3 linked regions of the Rattus norvegicus genome follow. The protein of the gene in region 3 purifies or fractionates together with the protein of the main gene of each other region. This does not show direct contact. Links are inferred from orthologs where the notes say so. Each region holds a gene or a part of one and is shown on either strand. Other genes may lie near its edges. The genes, in order: Nifk, Npm1 and Rrs1.

Region 1 (3,750 bases), on a different chromosome or scaffold from region 3:
AGGTGGGGCAGCACAAGTCTCCCAAGGGAAAGGATTGTTCAGAGAACTAGGAAAGGCAACCAGCAGAAACCCCAAGAGTTGGAAATTCTCTTCCAGGGAGGAACCAGTGGGCAACAGGCCTTAAGAAGCTGGTGTGGTACCACAGACAAATCCCACCGCATGATTTAAGCCCCAGTAAAAGCAAATTCACAAAAAACAAAACAAAAAAAAACCCACCAAAAACCAAAACCAAAAAACTGACCTGCCACTTCTGTTTTGGCTAAACTGGCTGGGAGCAAGTTCTACAATCCAGGCTCCAGCTCCCAGTACTGGGCTCACTTGGCCTTTCAGTTGGTGCTTGAGGAAAAGGTGCGTGTGTGTGTGTTCTACTTCCTGTTTAGAGCGCGAGTGCTCTTACCATTGGGCCATTTCCCCAGGTCTCAGTCACCCTGTCACTGGGCTGGAGCTGGGCTGAGCTGGCTAGTCAGTGCGCCCCAGGAACCCCATTCCCACTTTCCTAGCACTGGGATTACACATGTATGTGACCATATCTGGCTTTTGACCTGGGTTCTGTAGATGGACAGTTACAAACTGGGCTATCTCCACAGCCTCATTATTTTTCTCTCTTTATTGAGATAGAAATCCACATTATGTAGCTGTGACTGGCTTCAAACTCAGTGGTCTACCTATCTGTCTCCCAAGTGCCGGGACGAACGGTATGAGCCACCATGCTGCTTCGCTTGTGAAGAGTTCCCAAGTAGGAACTTTGTAGGTAACAAAGTTTTGCCTATGAATACAAAGGAGGCCGTACAATTGACAAGCAAAATAAACATAGTTGAATTCAGGTACAGAATCTTACCCGCTTACTTCTGGACAATCTGAATCTTCTAATATCGCCAAACTGGGCACAGTAGTCATAGATGTGGCTTTCAGAGAGCGTTGAAGGTAGGTGCCCCAGATAAACTACTCCAGAGTTAAGTTTTTCTTCCTTCTTCTGCTGAGGACAAAACAGATAAACATTTTAAAAAATTCACACTGCACCAAAACATTGTATATACACATTTTTTTCTGACCTGGGTCTCATTATGGAGCCTTGGCTGGCCTGAAACTCACTATGTAGACCAGGCTGGCCTCTAATTCATGAATACTAAGAGTAAAGGCATTACTATGCTCTCTGCAAAGGACTTTATTTTTCAACAAAGGTATGTTACCATTCCTTAACTTCAGAAAAATTTAATTCTAAAGTCTTTTTTCCCTTTTTTGAGACAGGGTTTCTTTGTGTAGCCCTAGTTGTCCTGGAGTTAGCTTTGTAGACCAGGCCAGACTCAAACTCACACAGACCCACCTGCTTCTGCCTCCTGAGTGCTGGAGTAAAGGTGTGTGCCACCACCCCCCAGCTTTCTAAAGTCCTTTCAGAGGATAGGTAGAGCTTTGCCTGCCTCTGTCTCTCCAGCACTGGACTGAAGGTAAATGTAACCTTACCTGGCCTGCAACAAAATTTTCAACACCCTTCATTCCTCTTGGTCCGGGAACATTTCTCTATCACAGCAGAAACTGAAAAACTAGGTGTCTGTATCTCTTTTCTTAAGCACCGCTGTGCAAACCTGAGGCTTGAGTTCAATCACACAGAGCCACAGACTCTGCAGAGACAGACTTATGTGTGCCGTGGTGTGCATGCACACCCACCTGTCCCTACAAAGCAGTCGGCACATGTGTTCCTTAATGGACAATCAAGTGAAAGTCTGTCATTGTCACTCCGAATCCAAGACCTTCAACTCTGAACTCAGATGGCAGCTTATTACATCGAATCATTTCCGATTAACCTTCACAGTGAAGACTATACTTCTGTCACCACCTTAGAGAACAAGAACTTGTTTCCCATCAGGTAGGGTACTGGGTGACCTATAGTGACCTACACCTGTAATCCCAGTGGATATATGGTTCAAGGACTAGACTGCACGGCAAATGTGATGCAATTTTGTGCTACAAAAACTCTACAAAGACACTGTAACAAAAACAACCCGCACAAAAGACACCCCCGCCAGGACAACAGCAAAACAAGAAAGAAAATCTTCCTTTCTCTCCAGTGCACCTCATGCTGAAAACCAAAGGGGATATAAACTTCCTTTCGGGGCAGTCTGGGAACAGAGCTTGGCAGGCTGTAATCCCTATTTTCTTTGGCGAAGCTCTGGTCTGAATACTGAGCCCGAGCTGTTTTCTGACTCTCGATCCTCCTGCTTCCCCGCTCGTCCAAGGACCTGGATTTGTCTGTTCCGTCTACTAAGCACTACAACGTAAGGGGACATACATACCTTCCAAATGCTGTGGTTCATTCTGAACCCCCATTTTGCGGGCCAAAGCGGAAATGTGACAGCTTTAACATATTTTGGGAATTGGAGGTGCCATGCTCCCCACACGTGGTACACCTCCTTTTTCACGTGAGCCCTGAGGGCCTAAAGGGTCAAACCTCACACCGATTCCCTGCCTGCCTCAGTCTCCAGAGCCCGTGAGAGGTGGGCTCCCGAGTCAGCGCGGCCAGAGAGCCCCGCCGCTCACCTTTTTCGCGCGCCGTTGTATTTGCGTCAGATCCTTCTCAAACTGCGAGTCCTCCCGCGGGTTCAACGCCAGAGTCGGCTTCGCAGGGCCTGAATACTCGGCCATACTGGAGAAGCACGAACAAGTTAATCCACGCGGAACCTCCGGAAGTGACGTTCTTTTCACTACTCGGAAGCGGAAGCAGAGGCGGGAGTGTAGCAAGAAGAGCAAGCCCTGGTGTTTGGAATTGGACGACCTCGAGCGCCACCTATTGACCACAATCTAAAAGACTTTCTAAGACGGATTAAAAATTATTCGGAGGCTAATGTTGGTGAAGTGCTTGCCCAGCTCTGCATAAACCATGACTGGAGCCCCACGCCTGTAATCCTAGAATTTGGGAGGTGGAGGCAGGAGGATCAGGAGTTCAAAGCGGTTCTCATATGCATAGTTCGACCACGGCCTGGGCTCCATGGACTCAAAACAAATTTACAAGTCCCAAACATTATCCATGTCTGTTGGCTAGTCAGGCCTACAAGCAATAGGGAAAGTCTTCCTGCCATGGACTCCTTTTGTAAACTTTGTAAACACTCAAGCAGGAAAGTGGTCAGGCCCCTGCCTGAGGAGCTTCAATGGCCAGCCTCCCCAAATCTCCACATGTCCCCCTCTTTCCCTAACATCCCTAACGATTTCTAACCGCCCAGAAGTGGGAGAGTGACCAGACTCTGGCATACAAGAAAAAAGTTCCACCAGTCCCTGAGTTCCCTCAGGTTCAGGACTTGAAATTCCACCAGTCCTCACCATGGAAATCTCCACAACATAGTGCAACATATATTTGTATTTTTGATATTATACATGTGTCTTTATGTGTTCAGGAATTCAGGTGACCATAGAGAATAATGGTGTGGGATCTCCTGAACCTGGAATTACAGGCTGTTGTGAGATGCCCAGTGTACTGGGAACTGAACTCAAGTCCTCTGGAATAGTAGAAAATATTTTTAACTGTGAACTACTTGTTCAGTCCCTATTTATTTTATTTTTATGTGATAAGTGTTTTGCCTGTCTGTATGTGTACCCTATATGTGTAATGTGTGTGCCGAGGACAGAAGAGGGTATCAGAACATGGACTTAAGGACTGTGAGCCAGGGTCCTTTGGCTCTTAACCACAGAGCCATCTCTTCAGCTCCCTAGTAGGTTTCTTTAGATAACACAATAGGAATTTTGAGAAAACACACACAC
Region 2 (3,650 bases), on a different chromosome or scaffold from region 3:
GTCTGAAGACAGTGACAACAGTGTACTCATATTTAAAAAAGGGGTTGGGAGAGATGCTTCAAAGTTAGGATAGGATAAAATCAAACTTGATAGGCCAACTCCTATAATAATAACTCCTGACAATTATTTGACCTCTACAAGTATACACCTAGATCATGAAAGTTATACACACACAACACAGCTCAGAATTCAACTGGTGTACAAAATAAAGTCAACTACAGATGCCATGTAGTCCATCCCAGTACATGACACACTTCACAAATTTATGTATCGTGATATTTTAATGTACACTACAATCTCAATCTACTATGTACACAGGGTTAATTAAGTACCACAAACACCAAGTTTTAGGCAGACAAGGTTCTTAACATGGGATTTGCTACTTTCCCTAAATAGATAAATGACATCCATTGTTAACTTGGGTACTTACCTTTGACCTTGGTGTTGATGGTTTTAAATCTTTCCCATTTTGGTTTGATTTTTGTGCATTTTTGGCTGGGGTATCTCGTACAGACTGCAATTAGAAAATGATCTTAAATCACTAAATGCCCTCTCCAGTAGAGATCAACTCAGATTAAACTGCCCTAAACCTAAGTAATCAACAAGTTGTAGCTCATATAAAAAGATAAAGTTCTCAAATTTTCTTGTCTAACTCAGAACCAATTTTTTTTTCTTTCCTTTTTTTCGGAGCTGGGGACCGAACCCAGGGCCTTGCACTCTACCACTGAGCTAAATCCCCAACCCTCAGAACCAATTTTTAAGTTAACAACTAAGCCAGCTTTTACTAATAGGACTAAGAAATTTCCATTATCTTATGTACTCACTTTCTTCACTGGAACCTTTTCTTCAGTTTCCTCTTCATCAAAATCATCATCATCATCACTACAAATGAAATATGCCAAGACACTTAGAACTAAGCCATATTGACGCACTGTAGCAAGTTAGTAGCACCAGTACTTGAATAGATTTATGTTAAGAACCTAACAATATTTACTTGAAACTATTGTTTCAGAGGGTTGTGAAATGCAGTTGTTTAATTTCAGTGTTAGCAAATATCTCCAATCAAACCAGTTGTACCAAACTGTAAAGAATCTAGGCTTTTTAAAATTAACTTTTAGCCAGGTGGTGGTTACTTATCTTTAGTGCCACTTTTAGTGGACAGCCAGGGCTAGATTAATCCTCCTTCTGCAGGGTGGGGATTTAACTTTTACATGATCCCTACTAGAGCAAAGATGCTTGTCTAACTGAATCTAAACAGACCATGTCTCCCCAATAATAAATATAATATGTAAGACTATTTTAGTCACTAGGGAGTATAAACCAAAAACAAGACACTGCTTCATACATTACTCAAGACGCAAACTTAGGAAGAACTCTCATGTGGTAATAATAACCCCAAATACCCACAGCAATAGCACATGCACATGTTTTTAGCCATTAAAAAACTAAGCATTGGGATCTATGCCAGACATAAATGGGGCTGATGAACTATTGTACATACAGTAATAAAGTAAAAAATTGACCAAAAAAATTCTACATCTTCTGATTGTACCAGTGCCCTGTTTCTCCTATCAAAGCTCTTCTGCTTATACTTCATTCCGATGTGTATGTGCAGTGTTTGGCAAGGCTTATTAATTATTGGCTCTCCCTAAAGACGTATTAAGCTGTCAGATTGTAATTAACAATCCACCTCCAACTACTTCAGTGTTACTTAACATCTCAAAAAAAGATGCTGCTGCTTCTCACTTTCAATCTAGATCTGAGATTTTGATTTAAAGCCACATGGCACTTACTAAGAGGAAGTACAAAATGTTCACAAAATATTGTGATTTTTAGAAGGGGGTGAATCAGTGTGGTCACTGAAACATCCTATTATTATAAGTAAAGTCTACTCTGAAAGCAAGGTCACTATTTTTCAATCTAGTGTTAATGAAGTTAAAAGCATGAATTTCTGCTAAGTTACCTTTTCAGTAGTGGGATTGTCTTGTTAGAATTATGTCAAAGCCACCTGTAAATCCAGTGGTTTTGGTTATTTTTTTTTCGGAGCTGGGGACCGAACCCAGGGCCTTGCGCTTCCTAGGTAAGCGTTCTACCACTGAGCTAAATCCCCAGCCCCGGTTTTGGTTATTTTTAACACTATTGGTCAGTATAAAACTGGCCTTACAGAGCAGGAGAGCTCACTGGTTAAGAGCACTGACTGCTCTGCTCTTACAGAGGTCCTGAGTTCAATTCCCAGCAACCACATGGCGGCTCATAACCCTGTATGTAATGGGATCTGATCCCCTCCTTCTGGTCTATCTGAAGATTGCTACAGTATATTCATACAAATAAATCTTTTAAAAAAGACAGTTTATTCAACATGTGAGTTAAAAATTACTAGCCTTACAACCCAACCCATGGAGGTGCTTTCTGTTACCACAATCAATGTCAATTTCTATAAAAAGCTTTTTGCATCATAATCAATGCATTATCATTCATCCAGCACCTAAAATTGATTCAAGAAAAGCTGTATCAGGGGTTTCAGGGGTTGGGGATTTAGTTCAGTGGTAGAGTGCTTGCCTAACAAGCACAAAGCCCTGGGTTCAGTCCTCAGCTCAAAAAAAAAAAAAAGGCCATATCACCACGCAATACCATCTTATGGAGAACACATATATATAGATTCATTGCCTAGTTTCTAACAGCATCCCATAAAGGGAATCTTGATTTTCCTTAAATGGCAATAGTCAAAATCTTTGCATAAATGCCATTTTTGTAGTATAGCCCATTCATATATATATACGAATGTGGATTTTTTGCTGCTCCCCAAACTTATTGTTAAACCATACAAGAAAATGTAAGCCAATCTTGAAATCAGAAACATTGAGTATCTGATTCAGGATTTGAATTCATAGGCAGAACTTTTTATATAATATATACACAAAGCACATATCAGTGTTTAAAGCCTCTCTGGATTCTGAGGACATTTTTATTCTAGAACTTCTAGCAATATGGTTTAACTCTCCAACTTAACTATGTAAACCTTCAGTCTATTACTTCACCCTCACTGGTATCTATGAACTATTACTGCTCCAGTGGAAACTACTAAACTTAACCTCAAGATTTGTCCCTTATTGACTACTATGAATAAATGTAACCAATAAATACATCAAGACCAATTTTGCTTTGAACAGTTACCTTAAGTTCAGTATATATTGTCAATATACTTGACCAATTCCAGAACTTCTCAAGATCTCAAGGTAACAAATTATCATGTGAGACTCAAAGTAGGAATTCCATACTTCCCATCTAGCTGTTTACTGACTTATATTGAACACATGAAATCTTACTTCTAAACTGTATCTCCCAAGAAAAACCCATTTCCCATTGAATAGCTTCTCAGTAAGGAAAACAAGAAATCATAATGCGAAATCCTTTATTGTTACAAAAACCTTTACTTCCTTCCAAACATCAACCACTGATTACTTTTACAGAACCCACTGGCAAATCAGTCCTCCTAAAACCTTTACAAGTACATGTACTATCAAATTTCTGAGATCATATTACTCATACTACTTACTCTTCATCATCCTCATCATCTTCATCATCCTCATCATCATCTTCATCAAGTTTTACTTTTTTCTGAAAGAAAAATATGTTATTTATGAGCAACA
Region 3 (3,750 bases):
AGCACAGAATATACAACCAACTCAGACATGAGAAAGTTTCCTAGTAACAATAGTAATAGCACATGAGAAAGGTTCTTTGTAACAATAATAATAGCATAAAATGCCTGCTTAGACAGGCAGCAGTTACCCAAACCTTAACAGTACCAATAAAAATCATTTTATGGTCGAGGGTTACCAGAACATCAGAAAATGTATTCAAAGGTCATCAGGAAGGTTGAGAACCACTGTCCTGTGGCTTACACACACACACACACACACACACACACCCCTTATGCATTTGTGTGAAATGTGTTAAAAACTCCTCATTGAAATACTTTCAACAGAAAATCACGAATCAGTAAAATTGAACCATGTGAAGGTGAGTTAAGTGGTTTAAGTGCCCCTAGCTAATATTTTATCAAATTAACTGGTGTTCTGGATTTCTTGAACAAAAATATTGAGAGTGAAAATAAAATGTTAACTGCAGATCTAAAATGTGGCTGAATCATCCTTAATAATTCCTACCATAATTCCCAGAAGGAGATGAAATTGAGCACCATTGAGAAAGCAAGGGCCAAGAAGGAGGCTCACTTGCTTGCTCCCATTTGCTCCCAATCCTGACATTTGCTCAGCATTTGCTCCCAATCCTGACAACCTCAGTTCAATTCGCAGAACTTTAAGAAATTTCTCCTCTGACCGCCATATATGTGTGACAGCACGACAAATAAGTTATTTAGTTTCATGTTTTAAAAAGTAAATCTAAGTTAATGTGATTTTTAAAGACTGATGAAATCCCTTTAAGTACTGGTTGCACTGATCAAAGTAACCATGTGTAGTGGGCTGGGCGAGGGCTGGGCGAGGGCTGGGCGAGGGCTGGGCGAGGGCTGGGCGAGGGCTGGGCGAGGGCTGGGCGAGGGCTGGGCGAGGGCTGGCCGAGGGCTGGCCGAGGGCTGGCCGAGGGCTGGCCGAGGGCTGGCCGAGGGCTGGCCGAGGGCTGGCCGAGGGCTGGCCGAGGGCTGGGGCTGCAGTGCCCTGCCCCCTGCCACCTGCCCTGCCCCCTGCGCCCTGCCCCCTACCCTGCCCTGCCCTCTGCCCTGTCCTGCCCCCTTCCCTGCTCCCTGCCCTGCCCCTGCCCCCTGCCTTGCCCCCTGCCCTGTGCCCTGTGCCCTGCGCCCTGCGCCCTGCCCAATTTTCTATTCCTGTGGATCTGTGTGGGATCTCTCTCCGCTCACACCTAGAGTACAGAAAACGGACTATATAACTCTGGGGAAATAATTTGTGTCGTCCATACACTTCTGTAATAGATTTACCCTCAAGTACTGTTGTGTAAACTCCATCTGGAAACTACAACGCCCGCCTGCAGTTCCAAGAGTTTGAGCAGCCCGCTTCCTACAGCGACCGCCCCTACCCCGCGGCATGCTGGGAAACGTAGTCCCAACCAGGCCTTGCGCTTGTTAGTCTTCATTCAGCCAACCTTCAGCGCCAGTCTAGCCAACATCCGGTTACGAGTCCAAGTCCCGCCTCTAAGCCCATCTGCTCTCCAATGCCGCCCTCTGCCGGTCCTTCCCTCACCGCCCAGTTGAGAGCAGGTTCCCGGAAGTGAGCTTTTCTCTTCCGGATTACGAGTCCGGACGTCCGCACGTGGTGGCTGGTTTTTGGGCTCTGCCATAGTAGCAAAGCATTCCGCTGCAGCCCCAAAGTGAGGGAACGGAGCCGGCGAGAGCCATGGAGGGGCAGAGTGTGGAGGAGCTGCTGGCCAAAGCGAAGCAGGAGGAGGCGGAGAAGCTGCAGCGCATCACGGTGCACAAGGAGCTGGAGCTGGAGTTCGACCTGGGCAACCTGCTGGCTTCGGACCGCAACCCCCCGACGGTGCTGCGCCAGGCCGGACCCTCGCCGGAGGCCGAGCTGCGGGCCCTGGCGCGGGACAACACGCAGCTTCTTGTCAACCAACTATGGCAGCTGCCAACCGAGCGCGTGGAGGAGGCGGTGGTAGCGCGCTTGCCTGAGCCCGCCACACGCCTGCCCCGCGAGAAGCCGCTGCCCCGGCCACGACCGCTCACCCGCTGGCAGCAGTTCGCGCGCCTTAAGGGCATCCGTCCCAAGAAGAAGACCAACCTCGTGTGGGACGAGGTGAGTGGCCAGTGGCGACGCCGTTGGGGCTACAAACGTGCCCGAGATGACACTAAGGAGTGGCTGATCGAGGTGCCTGGGAGCGCAGACCCCATGGAAGACCAGTTCGCCAAGAGGATTCGGGCTAAGAAAGAACGCGTGGCCAAGAACGAGCTGAACCGACTGCGGAACCTGGCCCGCGCGCACAAGATGCAGATGCCCAGCTCAGCCGGCCTGCACCCTACGGGACACCAGAGTAAGGAGGAGCTGGGCCGCGCCATGCAAGTGGCCAAGGTCTCCACCGCTTCTGTGGGACGCTTCCAGGAGCGCCTCCCCAAGGAGAAAGCGCCCCGGGGCTCCGGCAAGAAGAGGAAGTTTCAGCCCCTCTTTGGGGACTTTGCAGCCGAGAAAAAAAACCAACTGGAGCTACTTCGAGTCATGAACAGCAAGAAACCTCAGCTGGACGTGACGAGGGCCACCAACAAGCAGATGAGGGAAGAGGACCAAGAGGAGGCTGCCAAGAGGAGGAAAATGAGCCAGAAAGGCAAGAAAAAAGGGGGCCGGCAAGGACCTTCGGGCAGGAGAAAGGGCGGTCCACCGAGTCAGGGAGAGAAAAGGAAAGGAGTCTTGGGAGGCAAGAAGCATTCCAGGCCACCTGCCTTAGGTGGCAAGAAGAAAGGAGTGCCGCACCATGGAGGGAAGAGGAGAAAGTAGTGCTCTCCCCTCTGGACCTCTTCTGAAAAGCTAGAACCGTACTTGCTGTAGGCTGGTTCAGGAGGTGGCCGCTGTCCTCAATGAGCTTGACATTGAACGGGCAGGTTTGCCTCCCCTCGAGTCAGTGCTGGACTACGAATTAATGGAGACACTGACTGGTTGGTGTGTTTTGAGATTATGAGAATTACAGAAATACTGTGGTCAGAACCAGGAATAAGTTAATGCCTGCCTTTTTATCTTGACTTTGGATGCTGGGTAAAGGTTGATCAAATTTCTAGGTTATAGTAGACTGGTTTCAGCATTTTTGCATTATTTTGGTAATAAAGCTTGTATATTTATCAAAGCAGGAAGAAGGGGGAAATTTACAAGTTTGCCGGTAGAAGTTATATGTGAAGCCAGTGACATGGGTACCAATACGTGTGTGCTTGCAAAAAAAAAAAAAAAAAAGTTAAAATGGTTATAAATGACCCCTGGTATTAGGAAAACTCAAACATTCTTTTGGCACTAACTATAATTAAAGTATGGTGCTTCTTGATGTTGGTTCAGGTGGTGCATTTGGCCAATAATTTGGAACCACACTAAATGATGGTAATTAACCTTGTTACTCCAGAAAATGGTTGTCATTTTGTTTGTAGCTGATGGCTTTTGTTTAATTGGCTTGGGTTTTAGTTTTTAGCAAATGCTAGGCTGGAATTCTCTATGGAGCCAAGGCTGCCTGGAACTCACTCAGGCCAAGTGCTGAGATTATAAAGGAGAGGCTACACCCAGCAGATTCCATGGTTATTTCTGTCCTGGATGTTATTTTTTTAATCTTAATAAACTTATCTTTGCATAAGTATTAATACTTGAATACTTGCATTATTTTTGTAAATTATGAATTGGAAATCTAGAATTGAGTGAGGGAGGGGTGTTTTCTGTTAACCAAGTTGGTCTGTCAGGGCGGAGTTA

Evidence for each region.
Region 1: the proteins of Rrs1 (region 3) and Nifk purify together in Homo sapiens (affinity purification with mass spectrometry; 3 studies listed by BioGRID and IntAct, counting the BioPlex papers as one, with this or other methods). This does not show direct contact. The link is inferred for Rattus norvegicus from reciprocal best matches to the Homo sapiens genes RRS1 and NIFK.
Region 2: the proteins of Rrs1 (region 3) and Npm1 purify together in Homo sapiens (affinity purification with mass spectrometry; 3 studies listed by BioGRID and IntAct, counting the BioPlex papers as one, with this or other methods). This does not show direct contact. The link is inferred for Rattus norvegicus from reciprocal best matches to the Homo sapiens genes RRS1 and NPM1.

The regions. Positions count from the first base shown.
Region 1 is NC_086031.1:31,945,068-31,948,817, reverse strand, and holds the start of Nifk (MKI67 FHA domain-interacting nucleolar phosphoprotein), read right to left. Parts: upstream 2,673-3,750; 5' UTR 2,641-2,672; coding exon 2,536-2,640; intron 977-2,535; coding exon of another isoform or gene 974-976; coding exon 839-973; intron 1-838.
Region 2 is NC_086028.1:18,249,131-18,252,780, forward strand, and holds part of Npm1 (nucleophosmin), read right to left. Parts: intron 3,619-3,650; coding exon 3,557-3,618; intron 883-3,556; coding exon 825-882; intron 515-824; coding exon 431-514; intron 1-430. UniProt on the Homo sapiens protein: Involved in diverse cellular processes such as ribosome biogenesis, centrosome duplication, protein chaperoning, histone assembly, cell proliferation, and regulation of tumor suppressors p53/TP53 and ARF.
Region 3 is NC_086023.1:14,515,802-14,519,551, reverse strand, and holds Rrs1 (ribosome biogenesis regulatory protein homolog), read left to right. Parts: upstream 1-1,615; 5' UTR 1,616-1,704; coding exon 1,705-2,802; 3' UTR 2,803-3,249; downstream 3,250-3,750. UniProt on the Homo sapiens protein: Involved in ribosomal large subunit assembly. May regulate the localization of the 5S RNP/5S ribonucleoprotein particle to the nucleolus.